4 linked regions of the Alligator mississippiensis genome follow. The protein of the gene in region 3 interacts with the protein of the main gene of each other region in a pairwise test. Links are inferred from orthologs where the notes say so. Each region holds a gene or a part of one and is shown on either strand. Other genes may lie near its edges.

Region 1 (7,705 bases), on a different chromosome or scaffold from region 3:
TCCTCAGGGACCGGAAGCTGCTCTCTCTACATGAGAGAAACAAAAGCAACTCTGATGACCATGCCAAACCAAAGTTCCTAAGCAAACAGTACTGGGAAGATCAGTCTCTGGTTCAACTTTTGTAGCAAGCTCAAGATGGAAAGACATAGGGACAGTGTCAAGCCTTCCCAACATGCAATACTCAAATGGCACAAAGCTACAGTCAAATCTTATGCTAGAAGAGCTGATGCCCATCTTTTTAGTGGCTAGAAAGCAGCAGATGCTTGTATACATGAACACAGCTGGAACTGCTGCTGTTTAAGACAAGGTATATATTCCACTTATTTGACATTTATACGTAGACTGATGTCCAATCAGAAATCTGTGGTTCAGACACACTAGAGAAGCTTCAGAAAACATTAGGAAAAGGATTGAAGTTCACCATCACAAGGACACTACAAAGGTAACTTAAACCAAGAACCAAGGTTTCTCCAGTTATCCCAGAGCAGCCTTGTACCCTTTAATACGGTGCTTAAGCAGCTAGACCAGCCCTTAGGGGCCACTGCAGCCAAATGTAAGCTGATGCAGCACTTGCTCAAGCAGTTCTCAACCTTCTTAGGCTCAAGGCACCCATTGGAAAATGCTAGGGCTTTGTTTTCACTTGGGTTTTCTTTGACTCCTGAAACATAATAGAGCTATTCTTCTTTGGCAAAGAGTTTAGGAAGATTCTCCTCCCTCCCTCTTTCCCAAGATTGGGATGATTTAAACACAAAAGGATTCCTGGGGGAAATCTAGAGGTTTCTCTTGCAAATCGTACTTGCACCCCTAACAGTGCTAGCCTTGCGTGATGCCCCATGACACTCTTGAAAGGACAAGGCAACCTCCTTGGTGTCACAACCAAATTAAGTAGTGCCCATGTCACAAACAAGTAATAACCATTTAAAACAGTTTTTTCTGCACTAGGTTAACTAAGGGTTAACAATAATGATAGTAACCACTTTTTTCTGCGCATGTCAAAAAGAAATTTATTGCTGCGCCACTAACAGAGATAAAAACTTTTGCCTTCTTTGCTTTATATAAATCATTATAATTGGTCAAAGAAAACAAGGAGTAACCCTGTAAAAATAACACCCTAGCAAAGACCGCTAGATAATTGGCGATTCTAATTAGATTTATGACATGGCGAAAAACAATTGGCTATCATACAAACAAAACCCACTTACATTTTTCGCAAAGTCGAAGACAACTCTGCACACACCTTGGAGTAAATCTGACAATTTGATCAGTTGTCAGCGTCTTCCTGCCACGACCTCCCTGGCGTACCCTTGCCCCGCATGCCCGATAAGCCGACCGCCGGCCCGTATATATATATCTGCAGAACGACGATCTCTAAGCTCTAACTAAGTATCTCTGACCTCCGTCTTACACCACCTTGACGTGAGTAAACAATCTTGCTTTCCAACAGATAAGCGTCCGCCTAATTAATTCCACTCCAAGCATCACAGATACCCGCCTGACGGCCTTCTAAGGCCCCGGACCCTTATCTGCCCAGGTGAGAGTCAGGGAGAGCTGCTGACCGGCTGCCCTGGGTCCCGACACTTGGAAGCGCTGCTTTAACTTATGTGAGAGGCTGAAGTTTTGTCCTTTGCCAGCCCCTATGCAAGGGGCGTGACACTAATGGCTCAGTCCCACATTAAACCATTGAAACTGGACAGCAACCACGTAGAAAGCTGTTACACCATTTCAAGCACTAGTCTGGGGGCCGGCTTCATACACATTAGGGCTGGAAGGGACCCCGGAAGATCATCAAGTCAAGCCCCCTGTCCCAGGGGCAGGAAGTCAGCTGGGGTCATATCACACCCAGGAAGATAACTGTCCAAACGGTTCTTAAGAGTCCATAGTAAGCAGACTCCCACCACCTCTGGAGGGAGTCTATTCCAGGCCTTGGGGGCTCGGTTGGCTCTTTTTAAAGCTCTATGGACCTTTATAGGGCACAACAAGGACTTAGCAAAGACAGCCACTCTACATTTATCGTACAATGACCCATGAACTGCATAATATATGTAGTGGGGGGGGGGGCCTCAGAGCATTCTGCTAGCCTCTTCTCCTTGCTGCCTGCCAACCCGCTGCAGGGAGCCTGGATGCCAGTGTTGCCAGGTCTTAAATATGAAATTATCATATTTTCTGAAAAACTATCATACACTGAAAAAAAAAAGTAGACAAATAAGTCTTATTTACTTGATCTTGATCACTGCCAGCCACCAGTGAGTGAGTGAGAATTGGGTTAAACTTAAAGCATTTCTTTATTTTGAGGTGAGTACTCACAAAAAAACCCGCCAACAGCAAACCCAGATGTCAGTTAAGACTCTCTCAGAGCGACCTTGGTTTTGCATAGGCCGCAACAATGAGCTGCCTCAAAAATTATGGTGCATTTTGCAGGGGTTTGGGTTGTGGCTGTGTTGGTCTAAGGACGTAGGCAGACAAGGTTCCTTGGGTGAATTTGATATCTTTTATAAGACCAACGCAAATGGTTGGAGAATAGTTATTAAGCAAGTTTTCGGGTTCAAAAACCCTTCCTCAGGCTAAGGAAGCTTCAGCAGTTGGTGTGTGGAAGAGCACACACCAACTGCTGAAACCTCCTTAGCCTGACGAAGGGTTTTTGAACCCAAAAGCTTGCTTAATAACTATTCTCCAACCATTTGCGTTGGTCTTATAAAAGATATCAAATTCACCCAAGGAACCTTGTCTGGTGCATTTTGAACACTTTTACTATTATCGATAGTACATCATACCAGGGTTGAAATTAAAGTGCAAATACAATACTTATCATACAGCGGGCAACACTGCAGGCTGCACGGAGGTAGCTGGGCCCTGCCCACCGCCCCTGGGGGGACCTGACACACCTCACACTAAGGGCGCGAAGCGAACGTGGCCATGGAGAGCAGTGCCCCCGCGCTCAGGGGCGGGGCTTTAACGTCACTGCCTTGATGGGGGAGGGTACGGTGACATCACGCAGGCCTCGCGGCGGGCCGTTACCTTGGTGTCAACCGTGGGCCCCTCGCGGTACCCGACCTCCTTCTTGAAGCGGCTGAGGAAGGCGGGCTCGGCCGGCGGCACATAGGACACCTGGTCCCGCTTGCTCATGGCCGCCGCCGCCTCTCGAGGGAACGGCCCGCGCGCCGCAGCACCGACGACGCACTTCCGCCAGGAGAGGGGCGGGGCGGACAGAGGCCAGGGTGGACAGCCCCGCATCACGTGACGAAGGCCGCTTCCCCGCGGCGGCTTCCTGGCTGAACACTACTTCCGCTTTTCCTGGCGCTAAGCGCCAAATTTGAACCTGCCGCCATCTTGAGCGGCGGTGTTGCGCCGGGCGCGGGCACCATGGCGCCCGGGACCAAAGGTGACGGCGGAGCGGAGCGGGTCGGGTCGGGGTGGGGGCTGCCCGCGCCTTGGCAGCGACCCCGCGGGGGGAGGCTTGGCGGGTCCCGTCACTTCCTGGGGGGCGGCTCCAGCAAAGGGAGGAGGTGAGAGCGGGCCGGCGGGCACTGTCCTCGGCGGGAAGCAGCTGCGTCGCGGTTTGCCCAGGCTCAGTCCCCCCGCGTCAGCCGTGCAGGAAAGGAAGGACCGGGCCAGTTCAGCGACTCGCCGCCCCGTTAGCGACCAACCCCCTCATCCACTTCGACTGGGTTTCTAGTTCCTTGTGCGTCGGGGGCCGGCGAGCGGGATGTACCGTCCATCCCATCTGATCCATATGGGTTACACCTGTATACGTGCCTATGCATGTGCGTCTGCATGTAGATATAAATGTGTGTGTGTGTGTGTGTGTGTGTGTAGGTATAAGCCAGAGAGAGAGAGAACTAATTTTCTAGTTCACACACATGCTCCCTAATTATTTTCTTAGCACTATCAATTGCACATATGTGTGCATATACATTTCCAAACTGTCAATTGTGTGTATACACACACGCTTATAATTAATAATTAGTAATTAATTTTCTATCAATTGGGTGTGCATATGTATATACACACACTAATTTTCTATCACTTACATGCATTCATTATATACACATATTCCTGGTTTCCCTGACAGTCTTTTCTCTGATGCCTGATGAAGGGTGTTTGTGCCCAAAAGCAATTAAAGACTTTTAATTGCAATTAAAAGATTTTTTTTAATTAAAGACTTTTTTTTTCTAAAAATCTTGCTTGGCTAATAAAAGATATCCCCTCTGTCCATGAACCTTGATTGATTTCCCTGACTGCATTTTTCATTCTTGTGTTTTCACCATTTCACTATTGCATTTTTCAGTGTAATTTGCAGTTTTGATGCAGCACGTTTGAAAGTTGCATTGGCTTTTTTTGTAAGTTTATAGCATAGTATGCTGCTTCAGTGTCCTCAAGTAAATCAAGAGATATCAGGTGCAGTGTGTCTGGGACTCTTTCATTGGGAAGCAGGTTGATGTAGTAGAGATGATAATTTTCAATCTTAAGCCTCTCCCTCACACTGTTAGCAAGTCCTGCTGTTGAAGCCAAAGTACAGACTCAAGCTCGCTGTGTGCTAGGGGAGGCCTTACAGATATTTGTTATGGAGCATTTAACCATGGTTGAATAGATGGTAGCTTGCTTTGGCATCCTTTCATCTACTGGAGACAGTGAATATTGTAGCCCATGATGTAGATGGTTTGCAGTGTCTCATGTGACTGAATAGTTTAATCAGCATGATCTGTGGCAGTGATTACAAATGCATATGTTATGGTTGGGCTGTTCAGGAGCTGCATGCTTCCTATGGGCTTTTTTCTCTTCAAGCTGTTGGAGTCAATTTCTGTTGTGAACTTAATGGAGATGATGATGCCACTTGTTATGATCCCCTGCCAAGGTTTCCTATTGGTCAGGATCAATTACAAATGCCTTCGTATTAGGGGTGCACCAATAGAGATTTTTTGGGTCGGTACCGATGGCTGATTTTTAAGGAGCTATATTGGCCAAACCAATCTGATTCCAATATAGAGCCGGGCAGCTTGGAGACCAGCATCGGGCTGATTAAGTCTGGTGTGGGGGAAGGGGCATGGTGGGGTGCAGATCAAGGCCCGCACAGCGAGGGAGGGAGTGGGGCATGGGCAGGCATTGCTCATCTGGGGCGGAGCATGGGATGGAGCTGTAAGCGGCTTTTCCGGGGGGGAGGACAGCTCCTGCTGCTGCACATACCCTAGGAGGGCATGGGGGACATGTGCCCCCAGATCTGTGCATGGGGCGAGGGTGGGCTGCAGCCAGGACCTGTGCTGGGTACTTCCCGGCAAAGGGGCTGGGCTGGGCACGGGGGGAGGAGGGGGGTTGTTGTGGCTAGAGCCCCAGTGCCACCTCACGCACAGATCTGGGGGCACCCATGCCCTCCCAGGGTGCATGTAGTGGCAGGCCCCCCCGCTGGATGAGAGGCTCGCGGATCCATCCTGTGTCCCTCCCTGGCTGAGCAGCGCCTGCTGCTGCCCCACTACCTCACTGCAGGGGGCCTCAGTCTGACTCCCCACCCCTGCCTCCACACCGTACCAGCTCTATGCCGGCCTCTGAGCCACCGGGCTGTGCTCCTGGCCACATACATGCTGCAGCTGTACACCTGCACAGAGCATTTATTGGCCACATAGGGCAAAAAAGCCGATTTCTGATGCTGTCAATTTTCCCTATCTTGGTGTTGATTCAATATTGGACTGATGTATCAGTGCACCTCTACTTCATATCTCACTTGTATGTGTCTTTGTAGCAAAACTTGGGATGTCCTGTTGTTCTTGTTCCTCTCGATAGTTCCCCGTATAGCACGTCCGTGGCTATGCATCCATCTTCTGATCTGCTTAGATGGCTTAGGCAGCTCAGTTATCAGTGTCTGAGTAGGGCTCTCATGCTTAGTAAACTTGCCCTTTGAAGAACCTCTGCAGTGGTAAGTTTTTATCTTGCCATTTGATGTTGAGTATGTGGCATAAACAGCACAGGTGGAAGCAGTTTAACTTTTTCTCTTGATGTGCATAAGCTATCCATGTTTCCCCACCATACATGAGAGTGCTGAGTTTGCAAGCTTTGTACACTAGCATTTTGGTCTTGATGGTAAGCTTTGAGTTGTTCTGTGCTCTTCTAGTCTGATGAAGGTGGTGGCAGTCTTTCTGATATGAACACTAAGTTCTGATATGAACACTAAGTTCTTCATCCAGTGCAAGGTTAGTAGTCACTAAAACCTAGGTAGCTGAACTTTTGGGCTACTGCTAGCTGGTTCTCTTTAAGGAGGATTGATGGATCTTGTGGAACTCCCTGTCCTAGTACAATTGTTTTCATTATGCTGATGGTGAGAGTAAAGATGGTAGAAGTTTGGATATTTCATAGAGTTCATCTTAGTTTTTTTTACAGTGCTCAAGTAAAAGTATTTCGGCTGCTTCGCTGTTATGCAATGAAATTTCTTTTGGCTAATATGTGTCAAAACTTAATGTTCTGTGATATCTACCTGTTATGGTTTAAAGCTTTTTAAAACTCCATTATGTGGGAATCTGTAACCATAGCTAAAAATCTGTGGCCTGATGCAAACATGCACATAACTTAATGCACTTGAGCAGCCCCACTGAATTCAATAGGGTTGCACCATTCATAGAGTTAAACATATGCAAGTGTTTGCCTTGAAAGTTTAGTGCTTCCACTAGATATGCCAGAAGCACTAAACCAGATATCTAGCAAAGGAATATGGTAGATGAAATTTTTTTGCTACTTCCTATTATTGCCAGTTACAATGTAAAACATGTTTAAATGGTTTTGTAAGTATGCAAATGTCTTTCTTTTTTCTCTCTCCCAATATAATTTGGAATATTTTCTCCTAATCCTTTACTGATAGCTACAAATGGTTTTCCTGTGAAGTTTTATGAGCGTTGTTCCCCTTTTGTTTTACAGGAGATGTGCGCAATCCAGCATTACCTTCGTCAAATTCACTTAAGTAACTATCTGTTTGCTATTTGTTTTATGATGCATTTTAAACTGTATTCTGTTTGGCAAAGTGATTTTTGAGGGTTTAGAGTTTCTAAATGTTGTGGTGGAATAGAAATTTGTCTTCTCATGAACTGCTGCTACAGTGGTAGGATATTGACCTGTGCTCTTGCATTTTCTGTCATTTTCTAATGACATGTTTTAGGGTTTTATAGTTGTGAATTTGGTGGCTGTCATGGGTGGGAGCCAGAATGAATGATCTTGTGGATTCTCTTGTAAAACAAATTGTCCGTAAACACGTGTATACCCAACTTTGAGACTGTCATCTTAGATGACTGCAGAATACCTGGTAGCCTGTTTTTTATATTGCCATACATTGAGCTTTTAGAAAAACCATCTTAATGTGGGCCAAGAAATGGTCATGTGTTTGTGTTTGGACTAATTTTAACTAGTAGGTCCTTCTGTTAATTAAGTGGGTTGAATTATAGGTACTGGATCACAGCCATGATCTGTGTACTCCAGTGTCCTGTTTCCTATGGTGACCAACATCAAATGCTTCAAAGGACAGTTTTTAAGTAACTTTTCATTATGCAAGTGTGGCATAACATGCCATTTGCCCACAGCTGCTTCCTTTTTACTAGTAACGGATAAGCTTGAGCCCAGTAAGATGAGGCTTAATGCTTCTTCACAAAGTATATAACTTTAACTGTTATAACCCTGGAGATGTTCAAGGCCTTTTTTTAATCTGGCCTTGGTGACAGCCAATGGAGTATAG
Region 2 (7,668 bases), on a different chromosome or scaffold from region 3:
GAAATCAATGTGGCTCCACGTAGACACAAGAGATCTGCCCACATATAGTCAGTCCTAATACTAAGGGCTGTATGTATGTCTGTGAACCCTATGTTATGTCCTCCCTTTGCTCCATCGAATAAGAAGTGTATTGAGAGACAAATGCCACTTTGAAAAATTCTGCCTGTCACAATAAGAGCCGGTCAGAGCAGAGGAACAGGACTCTTGACAAAGTGCCTTTTCAATAAATAAGCAGTTGGCTTGTCCGCAAGCACAAGGGCTTTCTCTAAATCCTACAGGTTGAATTCCAAGTACACAAATCCCTCCTTATCATTTATTATAATGGGTTGGTTAGCACTTAAAGAAATTGGCAGAGTAATACAAAATCAATTCTAAGCATTAATGTTAAGGGAAGAAAAAAATCTCTGCTTTCAAGTCTTAACATTTAGCAACAATGTAAATGGACATTTTAAATTAGTTTGATAGGTAGGTAAGAGGGAACACTACTCTGGCAAACGAAAGCCTTGTCCAAAGCTGTTGTAATGTAAATACTGTTTCTTAATTAGCATTAGCCAGAACTTCAAAATGTTAACACACATTTACATTATATTTAAAATGCTCCCATATTTTTATTAATGGAAATGGGTTTTGCATTCTTCAAATCTCTTTCAGTTATCACAGGGAAGCTAGTAATGGAAAGAATCAGTACAGTGGTAATGATAATGTCCTTTGACAGAGTATTCCAAGTTTAGGAAACAAGTTTACTGCTTTGAAAACTCATGTACAGACACTGCCCAAAAATACCTGTACCTTGTCATCAAGTAGGCTAGACCTCCTTAGTCCTCCTTTGTTTGACACAATGGTGACACAAACCAAATGGCAGCACAAATCAAAAACCTGATGGCAGCACAAACCAAAAATCAAGGACATAAAAATGCAATTAATTCCTTAATGATAAAACAATATGTTTTATAATCTATCATAATCATATCTGACACAAAATTTATGAGAATAAAAGTGTTTCTGGAGAGGTAAGGCAGACTTAAAACAGGCAGGAGTTAGTTATTCAGTTCCCTCCGCTCACCCAGACCTCAATTTGTTAATAAGGATGGGGCAAGAGACCACGTAGTTTAATGTGTTAGTCTGAAGTCAAATAGAAGGCAAGATAGATTTGCACCTTATAGACTAACCTTATATACTAATCTATATCTACACCTACTGTATTTATTTGATTCGAAGACAAGGTTCCCCCCATACCATTTAATATGGGAGAAGGGGGGAAAGGCCCTTGTCTTGGAACCCATTACAAGGGGGCAGGACACCGGGGCTAGGCAGCTGCTGTGATTCTCTGTTGGGACCACAGCCATGGCTGCTGTCTGCCCCCGCTGGCTCTATACACCCTGGTCCCCACTTACCATCTGCCACCGCCTGACTGCTTTGCCCACTGCAGTGGTGCTGAGGACAAAATTAAGATGACGCTCCACTAATAAGATTCTATACATGGAAAAATTATAACAAAGTAACACATTTTCTATGTCTAGAATCTAATTATTGGTGGAGGACTGTCTTAAATTCAGGATTGTCTTGGATCTGGGTAAGTATGGTATAGATCTATATCTATGCCTATACTTATGTCTACTTCAGTATCTCTCTTTTTTAGAGAGAGAAAGATCTGCACCTACTTTGGTTAGTAGATACCAAAGTGGTTATAGCTATAGCTCTAACCATATACATATACATACACATATATAGCTATAACCACTTCGGTATCTACTAACCAAAGTAGATTGAGCACCACTGCTTTAGCTAATCACAACTCTTCTACTTTTCAAGTGCTTGTCATCTCCTTTCCTACTACTTGGGGGCCTGGATCCCACATCAGTTCTCATAGCCAGTGGTAGAACTTTTTATTATTTAAGCATTAACTTCACTTTAGGCATTAAGGCATTACTGGCAAGGGCAGATCATAACAAAGTTTTCTCTCTCTCTTTTAACTGTTACTTTATGAAATCAAATTGTGACAATACTAAAAGTGTCTGATATAGACACACACTTTTAGTATTGCCACAATTTGATTTCATAAAGTAACAGTTAAAATACACACACATACACATACACTCATATGGACATATCTATACTTTAGTCGGTAGATTGATCCATTGATCGATCTTTTGATAGATAGTTATACCCATACTTCGGTAGGTAGATAGACAGATAGCTCTATATTTAGACAGACTTAGATATGCAGGTATGTAGGTAGGCAGATCTATACTTTGATTGGTAGGCAGGCTTATTAGATAAATATAACTATACTTTGGTAAACAGGGACAGCGGTGCTTTGGTAGACAGACAGGCTGATCTATACTTTGGCAGATGGCAGACAGACAGAACAACTAATTGACGAAGCAGCACTTGGGCTGGATGGTAGGTAGGTCAGAGGACACTTTGGTTGGTAGATAGGTAGATCAGTAGACAGACAGATCACCAGACACATACAAACATATTTCGGTTGACAGACAGACAGGCCGAGCTATACTTTGGCAGGCAGATAAAGCAGATGGACAGACAGACCGCTCGATGGATAGTCTGGCAGGCAGGTGGGTCAGCAGCTGGATCGCTACAGCTCTCGTTTGCTAGATCCACACGGACTCTCTGGTAGGCAGAGACATTGCTCTGTAGTCGGGTAGGCGACAGACAGACAGACAGACACTTGGGCAGATCGGGGGTGGGCAGGGCAGGCACAGCCAGACCGATCTCTACGGTGGCAGACGAGCCGAGCAGACAGACCGGGAGACACGCCCACGTGCGGTCTCCAGGCAGAACAGCCTCCGATATGCGGCGGTGGGACCCGGGGGCGGAGCCTTCCCTCCAGCCCCCTAGGGCGGTGATGTCATGGGGCTCCGCCCCTCCGCCTGCGCATGCGCCTTGGGAGTTACCCTCCCCACCCTCTCCTCTCCTCACCCTGCGACGGCGGCGGCGAAGGTGGCTCCTCCCGCGGCAGCGCCATGGCTCGGGCCGGGCCCAGCACGCGGCCGGCCTCCCGCAGCGCCCCACCCCCACTGCACGGCGGCGCCCGCGGGCCCGGGGCCCAGAGCGGGAAGAGCCGGAGCAGCGCCCCCCGTCGCGCCAGGAACAGCCGCAGCGGCAGCAGCATGTCCCGCCCCACCCCGCCCAGCTCCGCTACGGCGCGGCACAGGGGCCAGAAGGGCCGCCCCGCACCCGGGACCGGCTTCCGCGCCTTTCACCCCGGGGTGCGTTTAGTGATCTGGTGTCCCTGTCCTGACATGCTGCCTGCCCAGTATGCTGTTCTGCTTTCCCTTCCCAGTGTGATCCACTGCTCCACTTCCTGCTGCCTGCTGTCTCTGCTGCCTGCCCAGTCTGCTGCTCAGCTTTTTACTCCCTGCCCCCACCCCTCTCTGGCTCCTGACCCATAGCAGGCTGCCACCCAGGTTGCCTGTTGGCCACCTCTGCCTCTACAGTGCCAGGTTTGGGTTTGATGGGGTGGCTTAAAAAAAGAAAAGGCATTTCCAAATAGGCGGTTAGGGCAAGGAGTTCACTTTTATTTTGGGGTACAGGGTGGCCAGGATGCCTTGGGGTGAAATCTTGTATTGGGTCCGTTCCTGCTTCGGGGAATCTCGGATTTTGAAATGGGGCAAAAGGGGGTTGAGGGAGATGGGCAGATGGTGTGGTGTATTGTCACATATAAGCACAACACAACACTTTTTTCCCCAGGTAAGGGGAAGAAGCTAGAAGTGTTATTGATATCCTAGGGGCCTGGGGCTGTATTATTCCAGGTTAAGATGAAAGCAAAAACAAACCTAACTTCACTGACGTGCATTCATTTGCTGTGTCACATATTATATATTAAAAAGCTCAGCGGAAATAATCAGAAGATGTTGTTTCTTTAGTCTTGTAGTCATTAAGAATTAAAAGTATCTCAGAGCCATAAAACAAAATCAAGCCTTTATGAGCATCTTGATGGTGCATCTGGTGCTTCAACTGAACGTTATTTCCATGCCTGAGTTAATGTTCTCCTGAATTCATGTTTCCATACCTGAGCTACTGTTTTTAGGTAGAGTCCAAGCCGTCCACAGTGCTATGAAGTAGTAGCTACACTACCAGGAGCAGCTAGAGATGACAGAATTGCAGATGAAAGGGTAGCTTGCTTTGTGGACTATTAAGATGGCTAATAAAGGGTCACTAACCCCTGTGGAGTGAAGGATTTAGAATGGGGAGGTAAAATATGGGCCGCAGGCCAGATCCAACATGCCAACTGATTGGACCCAGCCTGTGGCTGCCCCTGTGGTGCTCCAGATGGGGCTGAGCTGTGACTGGGCCAGCCTGTGCTTCACTCCAGCCCCAGGCCAGGCCAGCATGCGCAGCTTCCCACAGGGCTAATCCAGATGTGGCTACAGCCACATGGGTGCTGCTCAGCCTCTAGCAGTGGCTCCTCCTATTGCTGTGCTGCCCCGAGCAGGAAGCAAGCTTCAGTCGGGTGGAGTGGGTGGAAGTCAGCCGGATCCCTGCATGCTGGGGCAGGAGCTGCCTGGCTGAAGCTTCCTCCCCACCTGGAGCAGTGCAGTCAGTGTAGGAGGAAGAGCTGCAGCTGGAGGTGAGGGGAGCCAAGCTGCACCCAGGCAGCTGCAGGCCCCAGCAAGCTGTGCACTCTGGCCAGGGCTGCACTAGTGGGCACAGTCTGGAGCACTGTGCAGGCTGCCCTGGGCAGGGTTCAGCCCCATGCAGAGTGCCATGAGGGCAGCCACAGACCATACTGCCCAGGCAAGCTCTGCTGCATCTATCCCATGCCCTTCCTCATCCCCCGCCCACCAGCCAGCTCCCAGGATCTAGCTCCCAAAAAGCTTTCCCCCTCACCACACACAGGTGCACGCACCCCCCCACACACACCTACCCTCCCCCCCACACACACAGGTCTGGGGCATGCAAGGAGCAGATCATGGCTCTGCCCTGGGCCTCAGTCCCACACTGTCACCATCCCACACCCCCATCCCATGGTCCTGGCCTCACCCACTCATCCCACTCCCAAACAGCTCCCTGCCTGCCCATGGCCCACATAGGGACTTTTGGTGAGTTGTAGGGGCAGGGGTGCTGACTGGGTCCACCACAACTCATCAAAATTTATGTATGTGGCCCCCAGGCCAAAATAATCGCCCACCCCTAGTTTAAAAGATAGATTATAATGAGCCATGAAATCAAGTGACTCCCGCTGCTGCCTGAATAGAAGAAGTGCTGCTGCTGCTGCGGGCAGTTGGTTTTAAACTTTGGGTGGACCAGGAATCAAAGCACACCCTGCCCCCCCAGTCTGCCCCTGGGACCAACCATAGAGTTGGAATACAGTTAGTCCAATAACAAGAGATCACACTAAGAAATCCTTGCCTTTAGCATAATTTCTGGATCATCTTAGTGACATCACTTACACTACCATTTTCACCTACTGCAGCATTCAAACAGGAGTTGTGCTACAACTCCCCCAGAGCTTCTCCCCAGGCCTAACTGCCCAAAACAGGAGGCTACTGAAACTTAGGTATAGTAGCTCAATATAACTTTCCAAAAAAGGCAACCACCCCCACCTTCAGACTGGTAGAAGGACTGTATACAACAACTAGCTACAATCTCCACTGTGGTGCAAAGAATGGATGCTCCTGCTTTCAACTTCCATCTTCCTTTGAGCAGTCTTCTAGAATCAACATGCCTGTGCCTCCCCCCTTACCATTGGCAAGCAGAGGGCAGGACAGGGTGGCACCTTACTACAGTGAGTCTCAAATAGGGTGCCTTCAGATCCTTTTAGGTGTCCTGTGTGGTGCATACACGATTCCCAAGATAAACTCTTGAGATATCAAACAGGAATTCATAGTGCAAAAAACATTTTGTTCTTCTGTAGTTCTTTGCAACAAAATAATTCCTCTATTGTTATTCTGTAGTCAAGACATAGATTAAAGCTAAGAGTTGCCATTTTTCTGATGGGTGGGTGCCTTCCATCTAAAGAAAGTAGGAACCACTACTTTAGATCGGCCAATTCAGAGTCATGAGCTTACATGGTATCTCTGAACGGTCTCTCTGTAAGGTGTCACGCTGCCCTACCTTCTGCCTGACTTCAAAGTAATGCAGTTAACCACCTTGCTTACCACTAACAGGGCATGTCTACACAAGACATTTACTGAAGAGTATATTAATTAGCTCCACAGTAAACATCATGCATCTACACATGAGCCCCTATTAGGCTGCAATAAACTAATTTACTCTGCAGCAGGACAGTACTTGTATTTACAAGTACTATCCTGCTATGGAGTTTTTCACTCTATAGCAGTGTGTGAGTGTGTGACATTGCTGCAGTTGGCTGGGGCACAAGGGTGCTTCAGTGTGGGTGCTGCATGCCAGCTGGCTCCACACTGGAGCACCCTCTTGCCCCAGGCAGCCCCCCCACAGCATGTTGAGCCAGCAGGGAGCAGCCCTAGGTTGGCAAGCTAACCCCCAGGGCTCCCTGCCAGCTGGGGCTGCTCTGATCCAGCTCAATATGCTGCAGGCCTGGGTGCACATTCAAATAGCATGGCACCAGAGTTTATTGCTTGGCATTAATTGCATGTGTAGACACACCCACAATAATGCTTCTGCTGTGACTGCACAGTTTCCTTTGGGTCATGAACCTCCTAGCATTATGTGGTAAGCAGATACAAGAGGAATATTTTCTTACCTAAAGAAAGTATTTGTACTTTTAAAAAGCCAGCAGAACTGCATTTACATCAGGGTACCATAATTACAACAGGAGAAGCCCTATAGTATAGACAAGGCCTAACCTTGTCTTTAGAATGATCCTAGATTTTCCCTTCTGCTACATAAAATTTATTTGGAGGCTTCAGACCCTAAGTACCTGCTTTTAGAGTTAAGTCACTTCAATCTCTTTTTCACAATAGACCCAAATGATCTGATCTTCCTAAGGTTAACCCAGGGCTGTCCAACTGGCAGGTCATGGGCTGCATGTGGCCTGCAAGAGGTTAAGCAGACCCCCAGGCTCCTGCTCAGCCACCATGCCCCATCTTTCCAGCTGCAACAACAGCCAAAGTCTCCAGCCTCCCCCTCTATCCTCCAGGACCTGCACAGACATGCAATGGTGGGGGTATCAATACAGTGTGCAGTCCAGGGAGCCTGTGTCTTACCTTGATGTGACTCATGGGTTTGTGGCCCCCAGTGGTGGGGCCCACAGGACATTCAGTCCCTGGCTGCTTAAACAGTTAAGAGTTAGGTCGGAGCGGGGGACAATTATTTTGGCTGCTGGGCCACTTAATGAGTTTTGGTGAGCTGTCCAGAGCCAGAAGAATGGCCTCACCCCTTGACAAGTGCCCCCAGGTTGCCATCTTGGGACCAAATGTCCCACCCCCTAACCCCTGACCTTTGCCACCAAAAGTTGCTCCTCTTCCCCCTAGAAGTACTCCTTTTGGGAAGGGGGGTTGCCATCTTGGAATGGGGAAAATAAAACATTATATACTAAAAATCAAATATTGACAATAATATATTTTAATTTTATTTTAAAAAATATTTTGTCCTGATTTGCATGCATTTGTGTGGTTTATGTAGAGGTGATTGTATAATAGTTCAAAATGAGGTCTTACTTTTGTATATTGTGGGGGTGGGAGGCGTGGAGGCATGAACAGCGTGTGACCCTGGCGGCTGGAT
Region 3 (7,805 bases):
TTACTTCTTAAAGATCCTTGGCAGTTTCCGAAACCTGAAAATCCCACACTTCTCTGCCATCCTACCACACAATGTTTCAACCACCACCCTTCCAGTAATTGGACTTACTAGTTCAGCATTGACTTTACAATAAAAGTTAAACTAATTTGTAGAGGTGCACCAATACATTGGTCCAATATCAGATCGGCACTGATATAAAGAAAATTGGAAATCAGCCTGAAGTGGCTAATAATTGCTCGTGCGTGGGCACAGCCGCAGCACAGCATGCAGGCAGTGAGCAGCATGAGCCCAACAGCTTGGACAGCTGCATCCAGCTGTTAAATCTGGTGTGGTGGAAAGGGAGGGAGGAGGGAAGTGGCATGGGTGGGCAGACCTATGGCCCCTGAGGTGAAGGAGTGTAGACCTACACGCCCTCAGGTGAGAGTAGGTGCCGCCCAGCCGGGGTGAGCATGGGACAGAGCCGTGGCTCATCCAGAGGTGCGGGGGGAGGGGCCAGCTTCCACTGCTGTGCACCACTCATCCGGCAGCTCATTCCATCACTGCTTCAACTGCTCAGCCCCAGCTCGCAGCTGCAGCCCACCCTGCCCTGTGCAGATCCAGGGGCACACTCACAAGTCACCCGCCACCCTGACAAGCAGCAGGAGCCACTGGATGAACTGCTGGATGAGCAGTGTACAGCAGCGAGAGCCATGCCCCACCCCTCCCCGGATGAGCTGCAGCTCAGTACCGTGCCTACCACATGCCTACCCCAGCCACAGCCCCACTCCTTCCCTCACCATGGGGGGTGTTGATCTGCCCCCCTCTCCTCCCTTTTCATCACAGACTTACCAGCTGGACTCAACTACACCGGAAATCGGATCGGTAACGGCCAATATGCCTCCTTAAAAATTGGCTATCTGTATTGGCCCCCAAAATGTCTAATTGGTGCATCTCTACTAATTTGTCAACAATATACCAGAAATCAATAAAGCCAACATAAGCGACACTGGGCTGAAATGAGTTTTCACTGCCTATTGAAAGAATTTTAACAATGCCAAGATGAACAAAGTATAAATATTTCCCTTTTCAAAATGTACTCACAGTTACAACTTTAAGTTCTTTCATAACGTCATCAATGATTCCTCTTCGTCTCAGAGCTTTCATCAGATCATCTGTGGATAACTGCTGATGCTCGGGCGCTATCTCGTCACGTATAGTCTCAGCAAGAACTTCTCGGATCCTTCCATGGACGTCCATCTAGAAGAGAAAAACTTCTATGACCTGCTATCCAATGCTTGTTAGGATAGCATTATAGCATTCCTACATTAATCAAATAAGTTATAACCCTCAATAACCATCTAATACCATAGAGCAGTGGTGCTCAACCTTTTTGCCCAGGTGGCTGGCTGGGTAGAGCCTTGTTTATCTGTGGGCCATATGCAGCTGGTGGACCCAATCCAGGATGAATGCAGTCAGGCCCCATCCACTCACGCAGGGGAGGAGTCCAGCCCTTGAAGGGGAGAAAGGGGGCTTGCCCGGATGCAGCCCCATGGGGGGGAAAGGGGGTGCAGCTGAGCCCTAATGCAGATCTGCAGGGTTTGGGAATTTGGCAGTAATGGAGGGTGGCCGTGCTCTCCTGCCACCCAAATTCCTGACCAGCGGGGAGCCCCACAGGCCGAATACCATGGCTGCCTAGACTGCAGGTTGAGCACCCCTGTCCTCAAGCTACATGGTTCAAAGAGGCATGCTGGGAGATTAAAAAGATTAAAACCCCCTAAGAATAAACTGCAGTGAAACAGGAATGCAGTAAAAATGAAGCATCCGCTGTCACAAATGTGGAAGGAATTGGTCCTTGCTGCTTTCCTGGGGCAGAGGAAACCAGAGTAGCCCCATCCGTTACACAGGCCAGGGCCTTGCTGTTACCTTTAACATCCTTATCAAGTGGAAGGTAGAAGGGAGCTCATCTGGCAGCAGGTGCACAGCCAAAACCACTCATACCACCAAAAATAAACAAAACACTCAATGGAGCGCATACTGAGAACACCTTGGAGAAGCACGACTCTGGCTACCTTGCCTGAGGCAGGCAAGGATGCTAGGCCTACTGTGCTGTGCCAGGGCTGAGGGCATCCTCCTGTGGGGTTTAGATGATGGTTTGTCCAGGTCAGTTTGGATAGGGAGTGGCCTGCCTCAGGTTGGGGCTGCACTAGGACCTCTGGAGGCCCTTGCCAGCCCTCCAAGCGCTTTGAAGGAGGCCGGACGGTGCAGGTGGCCAGAGGGATCCTTACTCTGGCTCTTCACGGACTCCTCCACGTGGCCCCTCTGCTTCCGACAGCTCAGGCACAGCTGCCCACCACCTCGTGGGGCCTGAGACAAGAGCGCAGCGTGGCCAAGTGTACAATAATTATTGTATTCGTACAATAGTTTCAACCCTTCTGCGACAGAACAATCTGTAAAAGTGTTCAAAACATACAACTATTTTTGGGGCAGCTCGCTGATGCAGCACATGCAAAACCCAAGTCGCTCCCAGAGAGTCTTAACTGACTTTTGGGTTTGCCGCCAGCACTTTCTTACAACTGCTTGCCTCGAAATAAAGAAATGCTTCCACTTGGATGACCCAGGTCTTGCTCACTCACTCACCCACTGGCACCTTATAACAAGTAATAGAAAATAAATAATAAGAAATATTTGCATCTATTTCCGTGTACGATAGCTTTTCAGCAAATACGATCATTTCGAGGGCACATGGACCAGCAAATACGATCATTTGGAGAGCACCTGGACCTCTTCAGCCTCCGCAAGAGAAGGTTGAGAGGCCACCTTGTGGCTTATCATGGGGGCACAGAAGGGAATTGGTGAGGCTTTACTCACCAAGGCGCCCCTGGGGGTTACAAGAAATAATGGCCATAAACTAGCAGAGAGCAGATTTAGACTAGGCATTAGGAAGAACTTCTTCACAGTCAGAGTGGCCAAAATCAGGAACGGGCTCCCAGGGGAGGTGGTGCTCTCCCCTACCCTGGGGGTCTTCAAGAGGAGATTAGATAGGCATCTGGCTGGGGTCATCTGAACCTAGCACACTTCCCTGCCCAGGGCAGGGGGTCGGACTCGATGATCTATTGAGGTTCCTTCCGACCCTAACATCTATGAATCTATGAGCTTGCAATACGATTATTTCACATTTAGGTGCCCGGAGCGCGTTCAGAGCCAACCGGGACCTGCAGCCCCATGCCCCCGCCACCCGCACCCCCAGGGCACCTTGGCGAGCTGCTGCCGGATGATCTGCTTCAGCTCCGAAGCCTTGTCCGGCGGCAAAGCCATAGCATAAACCCGCACCCGCCTCACCGAGCCGCTGGCAGCCGCCGTAACTGAGCCCTCCCCTCCCCCGTGCGGCCACACCCCCTGCAAGCCCCCAACCGCCGTCTCCAACTGCCCGGCCAGGACGGGAGGCTGCCCGCCCAGCTGCCTGACGGAGGGTCCCCGCTGCCACCCGGGACTGGTATCCCCGGCTCAGCCCGCTCGGGGGCTCCGGCAGCCGCGCGGCCCCTGCAGGGAGCAGGGTGGGGACAGGCACCATCCACGACGCCTAAGGCGCCGGGAAGTGGAAGGCCCCCGCAGTGGAGGCAGGCCCCGCCCGGCCCTGGGCCCCCGCGCCGCCTGTCATGTTCGTGCCGTGCAGCACCGCGGCGCGCCGCGACTTCAAAGGCTTCACGCTGCTTATGGTAACGACCCCCAGTCCCCGCGCCGGGGCTGCCCGCGGCCTTTCCCCCCGGTTGTGCGGGGCCCTGGGGGGAGGGGAGGTGGGACATGCCCCGCACGGGGCGGCAGTTGGCGCAGGAGGTACCAGCGTTCTGGGCGTGACGGCAGCGGAGCGCCTTGCTGTCTACCTTGCGGGGCAAGGCACTGCCAAGGGGGTCTAGGATGTGGAAGCGGGGCAGGGGCATCCTCACAGCCCACACAAGGCCGTTTTGGTGCACTTCAAGAGAAACTAGAACAGGGGTTGGCAACGTTTTTGGCTGGAGTAACTAAAACACTGCAGTCCTGGTATTGACTCCGTGGTGACGGCTGTGCAACTGGCTCTGGGTGCGCAGCTGGGAAGAGGTTTGGGGGGCAGCACAACCCTGGTCCCTCACCTGCTGTCCATCCCAAGGTGTACACATAGCTGCCACCTCCACAAAGCTGGGTCGGGGAACACAGTGCAGGAGTTTGCAGCTTCCTAGCTGCCTGCCACAGCCAGCTTGGTCTCTGGGCAGCTGCAGCATGTGGCAGGCACACTGCAAATAGCTGTGCAAGAGTCTGCAGCACCCAGCACTGGCTCTGTGGCAGAAGCAGCTGCATGTGTGCTTCTGGGTGGACAGCAGGGGCTGGGGCCAGGCTTGCAGTGCCCTCAGGTCCCTTCTCAGCTGTGTGCTGGAGCTGCACATGCAGCCGCAGAGCTGGTGCTGGGGCCATGAAGAGCAGCACAGCTATTTATAGCCTCCTAGCTGCAGCCGGCCCAGCCTCTGGCCAGAGCCTGGGTTGCTTGCAGCCTCCTGGTCACCTGCCACGGGCAACCTGGGCTCTGGCTGGTGGCAGGCTGGCTGTAGCGTGGTGGGGAAGATGGCCTTATGTGCCGTGCTCTGGCACATGTGCTGGAGGTTGCCAATCTTTGAGCTAGAAGCTTTGCTCCCAGGTGGGACCCAGCCCCCCCCCCCCCCCCCCCCCCCGGCGCCACACACATGCACCCCCCCCCCTTGATTGCCTTCCTTATGGGCAACCCCACAATTTTAGGAAGGTGCAGATGGTAGGGGCGCCCTCCTGTCTAGCCGAACATTTTTTTTTCTCTAGTTAAAAACAAACAAAAATTTTACCAAGCTGCTAGGGATCTGGGGGTGGATGATCTCCGTTTAAGATGGAAGGAAAAACAATTAGAAATGCATTGCAATAAGGGAAAAGCAGACCACAGGGCTGTGGAATAGGAGCTTTGTTAGCAGGAGCAGCCAAAAGACAACAGAATGGCAGCACAAAAGAGAGCTGGAGCAGGGAAAGAGCAAGACAATTAAAAAGAAGAGAGGGTCATTAACACTTGTGAAATGAACAGCTGAGAAGGGATCAGGTAGATGACGGTGAGCCACAAAGTCAAATGAATTCCCTGGGCATGCCCTGATAGAAATGTTACCACTGCCAGGCAGCTGGTTGGGTGGAGCAGACATCAGAGGGGGTGCAAGTGCATCGGCATTCTCCCTCTGGATCCATCCCTGGCTTTTCCCATTTTGAGATCAAAGTGAAAGCAAAATGTAACTTGTCTGGAATTGCAGGTATCTGCTAGATTAGATGTCAAGTGTGGGGGGGGGGGGAAGATAGTGTGGCATTAGTCCCACAGGTGTAGTTTACAGGTACGTCTCATTGGGATACCTAAAACAGAATCTTGCCTTCTTGAGAATCTTGACCATGCCGCCAATGCTGCTGTCAGTCATTTCTATGCCTGAGTTAAGGTTTTTTAGGCTGCAGCTACAAACAGTCTGTAGGGCCATGGAATTGAAGAGCAGCATTACCAGGAATGGCTAACAGACCTGCTAAATTATGGAAGAAAGGATAACTTGATTAGTAGAAGGTCGAGATGGTTAAAAAAAGAGAGGGTCGTTCTCACCTGTGGAGTGAAGGGAGGTGAGCTGGGGTGATCAGGTAGATTATAACAAACGGTTACTCCATAAGCACCACCTGAATAGAAATGCCACTTCTCCCTCTGCCACTGGTTTTCAATTTTGAGTGGAGGGGGGTGCAAGTGTACTGCTGCACAAATGCACATCCCCGATCCACCCCTACTTCACCATAAACTAAAACAGTCAGGACCTGGCTCAGTTTTAAATGAAAGTGCATTCTCCTTTTGCATAGCCATAGGGCAGTGGTTCTCAACTTTTTATGCTTGTGGCACCCTTTGATAGACTTGGAGCACACCTTGGAAAATGCTACTTCTTATTTTTCACTAATTTTTTGACCATGGCCAAATAATAGAGCAATTCTTCTGTTGCAAAGCACTCGGAAAGACCGCAACAGGCCAGAATCTTTTTAACACCATGAATTCCTATTTCAAATCTCTGGGTTTATCTTTTGAATTATGTGTGCATACCTAACAAAACTAACATTGCCTTGGTACCCCACAGTACCCTTGAAAGTATATCAAAGCACCCTTACTGAGAAATCACTGCCATAGGGATTCCTCCCAGAGAGGGCCCAAATGATGTGAAGGTAAACTGACTGTATCCGTGGCACCACCAGCTGCATCAGCCATGTGGACACAGAGAGGGGTGACATTTTTTTCCATAAATTCTTTCATTTTATTATAAATTGGATGTGAGGTGGCAGGACACTGGTAACTTTTCACTTCAGTGTATCTTGCTGGTTCCAGCAAGATACACTTGAACTTAGTTCTGTGACTTGGATGAGAGTAGAGTTGAGCAGAGTAGAGCATTGTATAGCTATATAGGACTGGGGCACATAATACATGTGCTACTTTAAGGAAAAATGTGGCTTCCCTTCTTTACCCCCCTCCAAGTTGCTAGTAAGTCCCAGTGAGTATAATGTATTCCTTTTTTTAAAGAAGAAGAAAACTTGTTAGGCATACTTTCCAAAGCTGTTGACACCACAGCTCAGGTGGAGTCTCCCCTGATGCTTTCATCATTAGCAAAAAGGTGATTTTTGAATTAATTATTATAGTAATTTTTTACTTGCCTGATATACTAACCAGCATCCCATTTATTTTGGAGATAAAGGATATACAGTGCCGAATTACAAATCCTACGTTACATATCGGTTAGTATAGAAACAAAATGTGAACAAATGTGTGTTTTGAGATACGTAGAATAATGCCTCAGGTTTTCATATCCAATTTTAAAATACTGGATGGGAGGAGAGTTAATTAGGTCGTAATTAGGTCAAAGTTGAGGGGATTTTACTTGTTAATCTGAATAGTACTTTTAAAGTTACTTCAATTAAAATACCATAGTTTTATTTACATATTAAGTGTGTAATATCAAAATAACCGTTAGGTGTCACTTTAGGTACTGACAGCTTCTGCACTGAGTTTTAGTAACTTTGTCACCCGTGGAGAAAAAAAACCCCTGAACCCTCAGTCCTGTACTTAATTTTCTATGGAAGTAGGGATACTTGAAGAAGTAAATTTTAATATATATTTGCAGGATCAAAGCCAAAGTTTGTATTAGTAGGCTAGCCAGGCTGTTCAACAAATTACGTGTCTGTCAAAACATGAAATGCTTCTCTTAGAAGTGTGATAAGTCTAACTAGTCTGAGGATTTAAGTAACTTAATTTTGGTCTTTCTCACACCATCACATTTTATGGATGAACTTTACTGTAACTTACTAGGTAAACTACAAATCTGTTAGTTTGACACTAAGTATCTTGTGTTGTTTCAGCCATCTGTATCAGTGGGAAATGTTGGCCAACTAGCGATAGACTTGGTTATTTCTACACTTGACATGCCTAAAGTGGGTTACTTCTACACTGATTGCCTTGTGCCAATGGTTGGGAATAATCCGTATGCAACAGCAGAAGAAAACTCAACAGAATTGAGTATAAATGCAGAAGGTATGTAAGTTATACCAGTAGTCTTTACAAGCTATTTTTCAGATGTTGATTTAGGTGCAGTCCTGCAGTGGTCTATACAGAAAAACCTTTTAGGGAAAAGGGGCTCTGCACAGGTGCAAGGACTCATCCATGGGATGCTCTCTGCAGGATTGGGGTCTTACCTTGTTTCTAAAACCAGCTGGCAACCAGAGAACGATGAACTAAATTGTATTAATATACTCTGTGGCTTTTGATTTAATTAAGTTAT
Region 4 (6,518 bases), on a different chromosome or scaffold from region 3:
GGCGGGCAGAGCGGGGGCTCCGCACCGCACCGCACCGCACCGCACCGCGGCACCCTCTGCCCCACGCAGCACCGGCAGCTCTGGCCCCGCTGCCACGACCCCCGCGTCTGTCCCCAGCGCCCCGCCCGGCTCCGGCTCCGGCTCGCGGCAGGGGCTGCCCCTCGTCCGCCCCCACGGCCGGTCAGTGCCACCGCAACCGCAACCGCAACCGCAACCGCGGCGCCCGCCGGCAGCCCGGGCCCGCGAGCTGGGGGCCGGCTGCCCCTGAGTGCTCTGGGCAGTGGGGGGGGGGCGCCCCACTTTTACCCACAGTCCTTTGCACCAGCCCCCCCGGGCCCGGGCCATCGGACCCTTCGCAGCCGTGGCTGGGGCGCGGGGCAGAGCCGCCCTTCCCGCCACCCCCGCTCGGCCCCGGCTGGCCCTGCTGCCCCACAGGGGGCAAGGCGGCGCTGCGGGGGGGTGGTGGCCCCGGGTACGGGCGCGACGCCCCCGCACCCCCGCACCAAGCGGGGCGGGCGAGAGGCGGGGGCGGGCAGCACCCAGGGGTGCGCTCCCACGCTGCCGGCAGAGCGCCCCGGTGCCCGCGCCGGGCTTAGCGTGCCAGGCGCCGCTCGTGGGGCTTAACGCGGCAGCCCCCCCGCGCCCGGCCGTGCCCATCTGCCGCCCCCCGGGCCGCGATTAGCGGCGCTAAGCCCGGCGCTCCCGGCTAAGCCGCGCGCCGCTCGGACTCGGGGTCAGCGCGGGAGACGTTTATTGTGCGGGGGGGTGCGGGGGGAGCGGGGTGCAGGGGGCGGGGGGCGGCGGGGGCGGCGGCTCTGGGGCTGCCCCGTCCCTGCAGCGGGCGGGCTCAGCTCGACATCATCTTGACGAACTCTGCAAGGGAAACGGCCGCGGTCAGCGCCGCCGCCGCCGCCCCCCCCGCCCCGCCGTGCGGGCACCGGCAGCCCCGCGCTCCTCACCCTCGAAGTCCACGGTGCCGTCGCCGTTCACGTCGGCCTCGGTGACGACGGCGCGGATGTCGCCGGGCGTGAGGCGCTCGCCCATGAGGCGCTGCATGGCCTGCGACAGCTCCGCCAGCGTGATGGCCCCGTCCCCGTTGGCGTCGAACTGCGGGCGCGGCGCGGGGGTGAGCGCCGCCGCCCCGGCACCCCGCCCCCGCCGCCCGCCCCCGGGCCCCCGCCGACCTCCTTGAAGGCGTCGCGCATCTCCCGCAGCCCGATCATCCCGGCCGTCTCCGCCAGCAGCTTGGGCGCCATCAGCTCCACGAAGTCCTCGAAGTCCACGCGGCCGCCCACTGCGCGGGGCACGGCGTGAGAGCGGCGCGCGGCCCCCGGCCCGCCCGGCCCGCCCGCCCGCCCGCCCGCCCGCACTCACGGCTCACGGCGATGTGCTGCGAGAGCTGGATGAGCTCCATCTCGGTGGGCATGTAGCCCATGGTGCGCATGAGCTGGCCCAGCTCTTTGGCCCCGATCAGCCCGTCCTTGTCCTTGTCGAACTCCGCAAAGGCCTCCCGCAGCTCTGCGCGGCACCGGGCGATCACGCCGCCGGCCCCGCACCCGCCCCCGCCCGCCCGGCCGCTCCCGCCGCGCAGCCCGGGGACCCGGCCCGGCCCGGCCCGGCCTTACCGTCGATCTCGTCGGCGCCCAGCTCCCGCTCCTGCAAAATCCGAGCGCGGCGGTCAGGGCAGGCAGGTGTGCGGGACCCCGCGCCGCCACCCCCGGGCCCACCCGCACCCGCCCCCGCACCCGGTGCTTCTCGGCGATGCCCTTGCGCAGGAAGACGCACGCGGGGCCCAGTGGCGGGTCCATCGCGGCAGCGCGGGGCAGCGGCGGGCGCCGGCCCTTATAACCCGCCCTAATCCACCCCCGCCCCCCCGCTCCCGGCCAACATCTGGCGACTGCGCCGGACGCCCGGCTCCTCTCGCCCCGCCCGATGCCTCGGGACAGGCGCCCCCACGCGCGGTCCCGCGTGCCCACACACCACGCACGGCGCTTGCTGGCAGAACCGCTTTATTGCACACTGGTGGGGCTGGCAGGACCCGCGTCTGGGCAGGGGCTGGGGGACAGGACTCGGGCTTCTGGGGGCATCGGGGGGCGGGGGGGGGGGGCAGCGGGTCAGGAGGGCACCCCGGTGTCCGGGGCAAGCTCAGGAGGGGCCCGCAGCGGGCGCGGAGCCCCAGGCCAGGGCGTGCAGGCGGTCGGCGGCCTCCACCATGCGGGCGCGGTACTCCAGGTGCGCGTGGTTGCCGGGGGGCACCCCGTCCAGGCCGTGGGTGACGCCCCACCAGCACCCCGCGATGACGGCCGTCGAGTCGCTGTCCCCTGCGGGAGAGGCGCGGGTCACAAGGTGGTACGGGGCGGGGTGTCACTACAGGGCCCTGCGCTGCGGCTGGGTTGGAGTGGGGTGGGTGCCGCCAGGAGCTCCCAGCGCTGCGGCTGGCTCTGGGGTGGGCTGCAGTAGTGGCTTTGCATCACAGAGACTTCCTGCAGTGCGGCTGGCTCTGGGGTGGGGCGGGCTAGGGCCATGCGTAGCAGAGACCCTCGGCTGTGGCTGGCGCTGGGGCTGGGTGCCCTGGGGCCCTGCGTAACACGACCCGCGAGGCTGCGGCTGGCTCTGGGGAGTGCGCTGGAGCCGTGCATGACGCGTGCGGGCGCCGCGAGCGCCACTCACCCCCGTGGAAGGCGGCGCGGGCGCAGAGCTGGTCCCAGCTGGCGCCGGCACCGAGCAGGGCGTCGTAGGCGATCATGGGGGCGTCGTGCCCGCTGCGCCCGGCCCAGCCGTCCAGGCTGAGAGCGGTGTAGGCCACATCGCGCTCCGCCGGGCCGTACGGCTCGGGGAACCGCGCCGGGCCGCTGCCCGTGGCCAGGCCCCGCTCCGCCAGGTACCTGCGGGGCGGCAGCGGGAGGGTGAGAGGGGCCCCGGCTGCCCCCCCGGTCCGCGCGCCCTCACTCACCGGGCCCAGCGCTCGGGGAAGTCCGCCCAGGCCTCCATGTTGGGGGCCACGTCGCCGCCCGCGTCCCGCACGTAGGCCTGCGCCAGGGGCAAGGTCTGCAGCAGGCGGGCGCCCCACTGCTCCGGGGGCACGCCCTGCACCGCCAGCGCCGTGAGCAGTGCCGCCGCCAGCGCGCCCAGGTACCCTGCCGCAGCACGGCGGGGTCAGGGCCGGGGGTGGCCAGGCGGCCCCCCCACCGGGCCCCGGCCCCGCCCGGCCCCGTACCCGTGGGGTGGTGGTGCGTCATGCGGCCGCTCTCCACGCTGACCCGGATCAGGTGCGGCAGGTCCGTGGGGCGCGGGTACCTGTCGGGGCAGGTGGCGGTCACAGCCCAGCCGGGCCCCGCCTGCCTCCCGCCCCTGCACCCACCTGAGGCCGATGGCCATGGCGCGCATGGCGGCCCCGCAGCCGGTGCCCGTCGGGTTGAAGGGGATGCGGTGCCCCCCCGGCTGCCCCGGGCGCAACTGGGACGTCCCTGCGAGGGACACATGCAGGACAGGGGTGAGGCGCAGTGCCCGGGGGGGGGGGGGGGGGGCGGCTGGGTTGCCCCGCCCCGCGCCGCCCCGCGCCGCCCCGCCCCGCCCCGTACCGAGGATGCTGGTGGGCCCCGGCTTGCGCCCCTCCATGTCACCCATCGCCTCCACGTAGCGCCGCGCCAGCTCCTGCAGCAGCGCGTCCCCCGACAGCCCTGCGCAGAGCAGGGGCGCGGGTGAGCGGGGCCCCGGGCGCTGCCCCGCCCTGCCCCGCGCCCGCGCCTGCCTCACCGGTGGCCAGGGCCTCGGCGGTGGCCAGGTGCAGCACCGTGTCGTCGCTGACGGGCCAGTCGGGGGGCGCCACACGCAGCGCCGCCAGCCCGCCCAGCGCCGCCAGCTCGGCCTGGATCTGCGGCCCCGAGGGGCAGTACTCCCAGAGCGAGCCGCGGTAGCCCAGCGCGTCGCCCGCGCCGCTCAGCACCATGCCCGCCCGGTACGCCTCCACGCGGGGCGGCCCGCGCCTGCACGGGCAGGGGCCGGGAATGAGGGGGCTCGCCCTGCCGGGTGCGCCCCCCCCCAGCACCGCGGGGTGTGCGTGGCACTTACGGCCCCTCCATGGCAGCTCTCGCTCGGGCTGCCCCGCACCTGTGTCTGTCCGTCCGCGCGCCGCAGCCCCTGCCCCTCTCCTCCCCCTGGCGCCATCCCCTGGCACCCGGCCCTTAAAGGGGCAGCGAGAGCGGGCCGGCCGGCGCCTGGGGAGGAGGATGGGCAGCCCGGGCTGCGCACGCCAGGAGGCGGGTGTAGCGGGGCCGCGGCGGCCGGCTCTGGGGCCGACAGGAGGGCCGGGGGCCTGGCCCGCCGCTCCCGCAGGAGGTGGCCGCGTCGAAGTGCAGCAATTCCCACTCTGCCCTTTGGATGTCGGGGAAAGCGAAAGCAAAACCTGTTTTTCCCCGCCTGGAAGAGCCTGGACACGGGAAGCGGGGTGCAGCAGAGCCACGCAGGCGGCGGGTCCATGGGGCTGGGGGCTCCCCTCCTCCTGCCCCTGCTCCACCCCCTCTTCCTGGGGGCAGCGGGTAAGTGTGGGGCACCCCGGGGCTCCCAGATGGGGCAGGGCACTGGGTGTGGCCGTGGGCCCGAGAGCCCGGGTGCTGTGCCAGCAGTTGGCAGGGGTGGCAGTGGGTGCCGTGGTCAGAGGGAGTCGTGGGCCCTGCTGTGGGCAGCCCCGCACTGTGCTCAGCCCCGGCGCTGGTGGAGGGTGGCAGATCCTGCGGGGCTGTGCTCGTGGCCTGTGCTTCTGGCCCCCTTCCTTCGCGTGTAGCACCGGGGCTGCCAGACTACCGTGGCCGGTGGGGCGTGGTGCTGGGAGCCGTGGGCCGTGCAGCCCCCATGGCGCGTGTGCTCTCCTCGGCAGGGGCCATGCTGACGCTGTACACGGCGCCGGAGACCCGGGCAGCGCTGGGCTCGGTGGCGCTCCTCAAGTGCCGCTTCAACGTGGGCAGGCCCATAGACCCAGCAGTGCTGCGGGTGCGCTGGCTCTCCGCCGCTGCGGGCCCCGTGGCACAGTATGACCGGGGCCAGGGGACCTTTGAGCCACGGCTGCGCCTGTCCGAGCAGGAGCTGCAGATCGGGAACGCCTCCCTGGAGGTGCAGGATGTGGCGGTGCAGGACAACGGGACCTACACCTGCGAGGTGGCGTACGGCACAGAGACGCAGCTGGGCAAGACGACCCTCTGGGTGCTCGGTAAGGACCCTTGGGACCCAGGCCTGGGCACTGCTCTATGGCCAGGGCGGCGGTGGGTGTGGGTGTGTGGTGCGGGACGGCTCCGGGAATTGGGGGCTGGTGGTGCTCCCCTCACGGGCTCCGGCCCCTGCAGCAGCCCCGAGGATCTCCCTGGACCAGCGCGTGGGTGGCGCAGAGACGTCCCTCCTGTGCCACGTGGGTGGCTTCTTCCCCGAGGACATGGAGGCCACGTTGCTGAGAGATGAGCAGGTCCTGAATGGCTCCACCCGCTCCAGCCCCCAGAGGAACCAGGACGGGACCTTCAACCTCACCCTGACCTACACCTTCACCCCAGTCCGGAGCGACGCTGGCGCCGTCTTCACCTGCCGCGTCCGACACCCGGTGCTGGGGCAGCCCCTGGTCGAGGAGTTCGCCCTGGATGTCCCAGGTGAGTGCCCAAAACAGCCTGGCAGCGAGGCCAGACAGTGCTACAGGGTGAGTGCTGGAGCAAGGCTGTGTGCCAACTTTCCCTCCCACCCCGTCCCTGCTGCAGGCTCGGACCGCACCGGAGCTGCGATTGGGGCCGTTGTGGCCATCGTGCTCGCACTAGGAGCTGCGGGCGCGGCCAGTTACTGCTGGCGGCAGAGGAGAGGTACGGGCACGGCGCCGGGGGGAGCAGAGGGGAGGGGGGACGGCGACAGGGTCTCGGGCAGGGGCACGCTGCGGGGCACAGACGGGCCCCTGGAGCAGGGCAGGCTTTACCCTCCTGCTCCCGGGGACCCACACCCCGCAGCCCCAGCGCAGGCCGGACGTGTCTCCAGGACCGTCCCAAGGTGACCCTGTGTCCTGTGTGTTGCTCCCACCCCAGGCAGGAAAGCCGCTTGCTCCGTGTCCAAGGTGGAGGGGCCGGAGCGGTGCCGGCTGGGCCAGGAGGTGACTCTGCGCTGCTCCGTGGAGGGGAAGATCCGTGCAGACACGGCGGTGACGTGGGAGCGGACGCAGGGCGAGGACAGGGCGCTGATCCAGAAGGACGGGCCCAGGGCGGCCCCTGAGCACCAGCTGCTCTTCCCGTCCCCGCCCCCGGGCTGGACGTCCACCCAGGAGAGGTCCGAGACCGGCCTCACGGCCCTCCTGACCTTCACCCCCACGGTGCAGGATCACGGGGCGCGCGTGCGGTGTCTCCTCCAGCCCGAGGCCCGAGACAGCGGCGAGGAGCCCGAGTGCTGGGAGATCCGGGTGTGGGGTGAGTCCCGGCAGGGCCCGGCAGGGAGAGTCAGGGGCAGCGGCTGAGCGAGGAGCGCGTTTCATGTAAGACGGGGACACGCTGGAGAGC

What was found.
Region 1: the proteins of CEP76 (region 3) and KIAA1143 interact in binary tests that used the Homo sapiens proteins (3 or more experiments, as listed by UniProt). The two-hybrid records come from large-scale screens. The link is inferred for Alligator mississippiensis from reciprocal best matches to the Homo sapiens genes CEP76 and KIAA1143.
Region 2: the proteins of CEP76 (region 3) and AKAP7 interact in a two-hybrid assay, tested with the Homo sapiens proteins (3 studies listed by BioGRID). The two-hybrid records come from large-scale screens. The link is inferred for Alligator mississippiensis from reciprocal best matches to the Homo sapiens genes CEP76 and AKAP7.
Region 4: the proteins of CEP76 (region 3) and CABP5 interact in binary tests that used the Homo sapiens proteins (3 or more experiments, as listed by UniProt). The link is inferred for Alligator mississippiensis from reciprocal best matches to the Homo sapiens genes CEP76 and CABP5.

Annotation. Positions count from the first base shown.
Region 1 is NC_081828.1:136,489,434-136,497,138, forward strand, and holds the start of KIAA1143 (uncharacterized protein KIAA1143 homolog), read right to left. Parts: upstream 3,186-7,705; 5' UTR 3,124-3,185; coding exon 3,016-3,123; intron 27-3,015; coding exon 1-26. Other genes in the region: kinesin-like protein KIF15, read left to right, coding at 3,361-3,379, 6,898-6,940.
Region 2 is NC_081824.1:113,907,653-113,915,320, reverse strand, and holds the start of AKAP7 (A-kinase anchoring protein 7), read right to left. Parts: upstream 3,124-7,668; 5' UTR 2,987-3,123; coding exon 2,941-2,986; intron 877-2,940; exon of another isoform or gene 790-876; intron 761-789; exon of another isoform or gene 1-760. UniProt on the Homo sapiens protein: Probably targets cAMP-dependent protein kinase (PKA) to the cellular membrane or cytoskeletal structures.
Region 3 is NC_081826.1:97,848,658-97,856,462, forward strand, and holds the start of CEP76 (centrosomal protein of 76 kDa), read right to left. Parts: upstream 3,346-7,805; 5' UTR 3,295-3,345; coding exon 3,232-3,294; intron 1,237-3,231; coding exon 1,081-1,236; intron 1-1,080. Other genes in the region: PSMG2 (proteasome assembly chaperone 2), read left to right, coding at 3,636-3,695, 7,387-7,558. UniProt on the Homo sapiens protein: Centrosomal protein involved in regulation of centriole duplication. Required to limit centriole duplication to once per cell cycle by preventing centriole reduplication.
Region 4 is NC_081830.1:325,485-332,002, forward strand, and holds CABP5 (calcium-binding protein 5), read right to left. Parts: upstream 1,860-6,518; 5' UTR 1,809-1,859; coding exon 1,746-1,808; intron 1,657-1,745; coding exon 1,626-1,656; intron 1,519-1,625; coding exon 1,375-1,518; intron 1,295-1,374; coding exon 1,185-1,294; intron 1,108-1,184; coding exon 960-1,107; intron 874-959; coding exon 848-873; 3' UTR 742-847; downstream 1-741. Other genes in the region: ADP-ribosylhydrolase ARH1, read right to left, coding at 2,146-2,321, 2,671-3,137, 3,218-3,467, 3,582-3,680, 3,757-3,986, 4,072-4,082; uncharacterized protein LOC102566895, read left to right, coding at 4,478-4,538, 4,877-5,206, 5,340-5,633, 5,739-5,837, 6,054-6,428. UniProt on the Homo sapiens protein: Inhibits calcium-dependent inactivation of L-type calcium channel and shifts voltage dependence of activation to more depolarized membrane potentials. Involved in the transmission of light signals.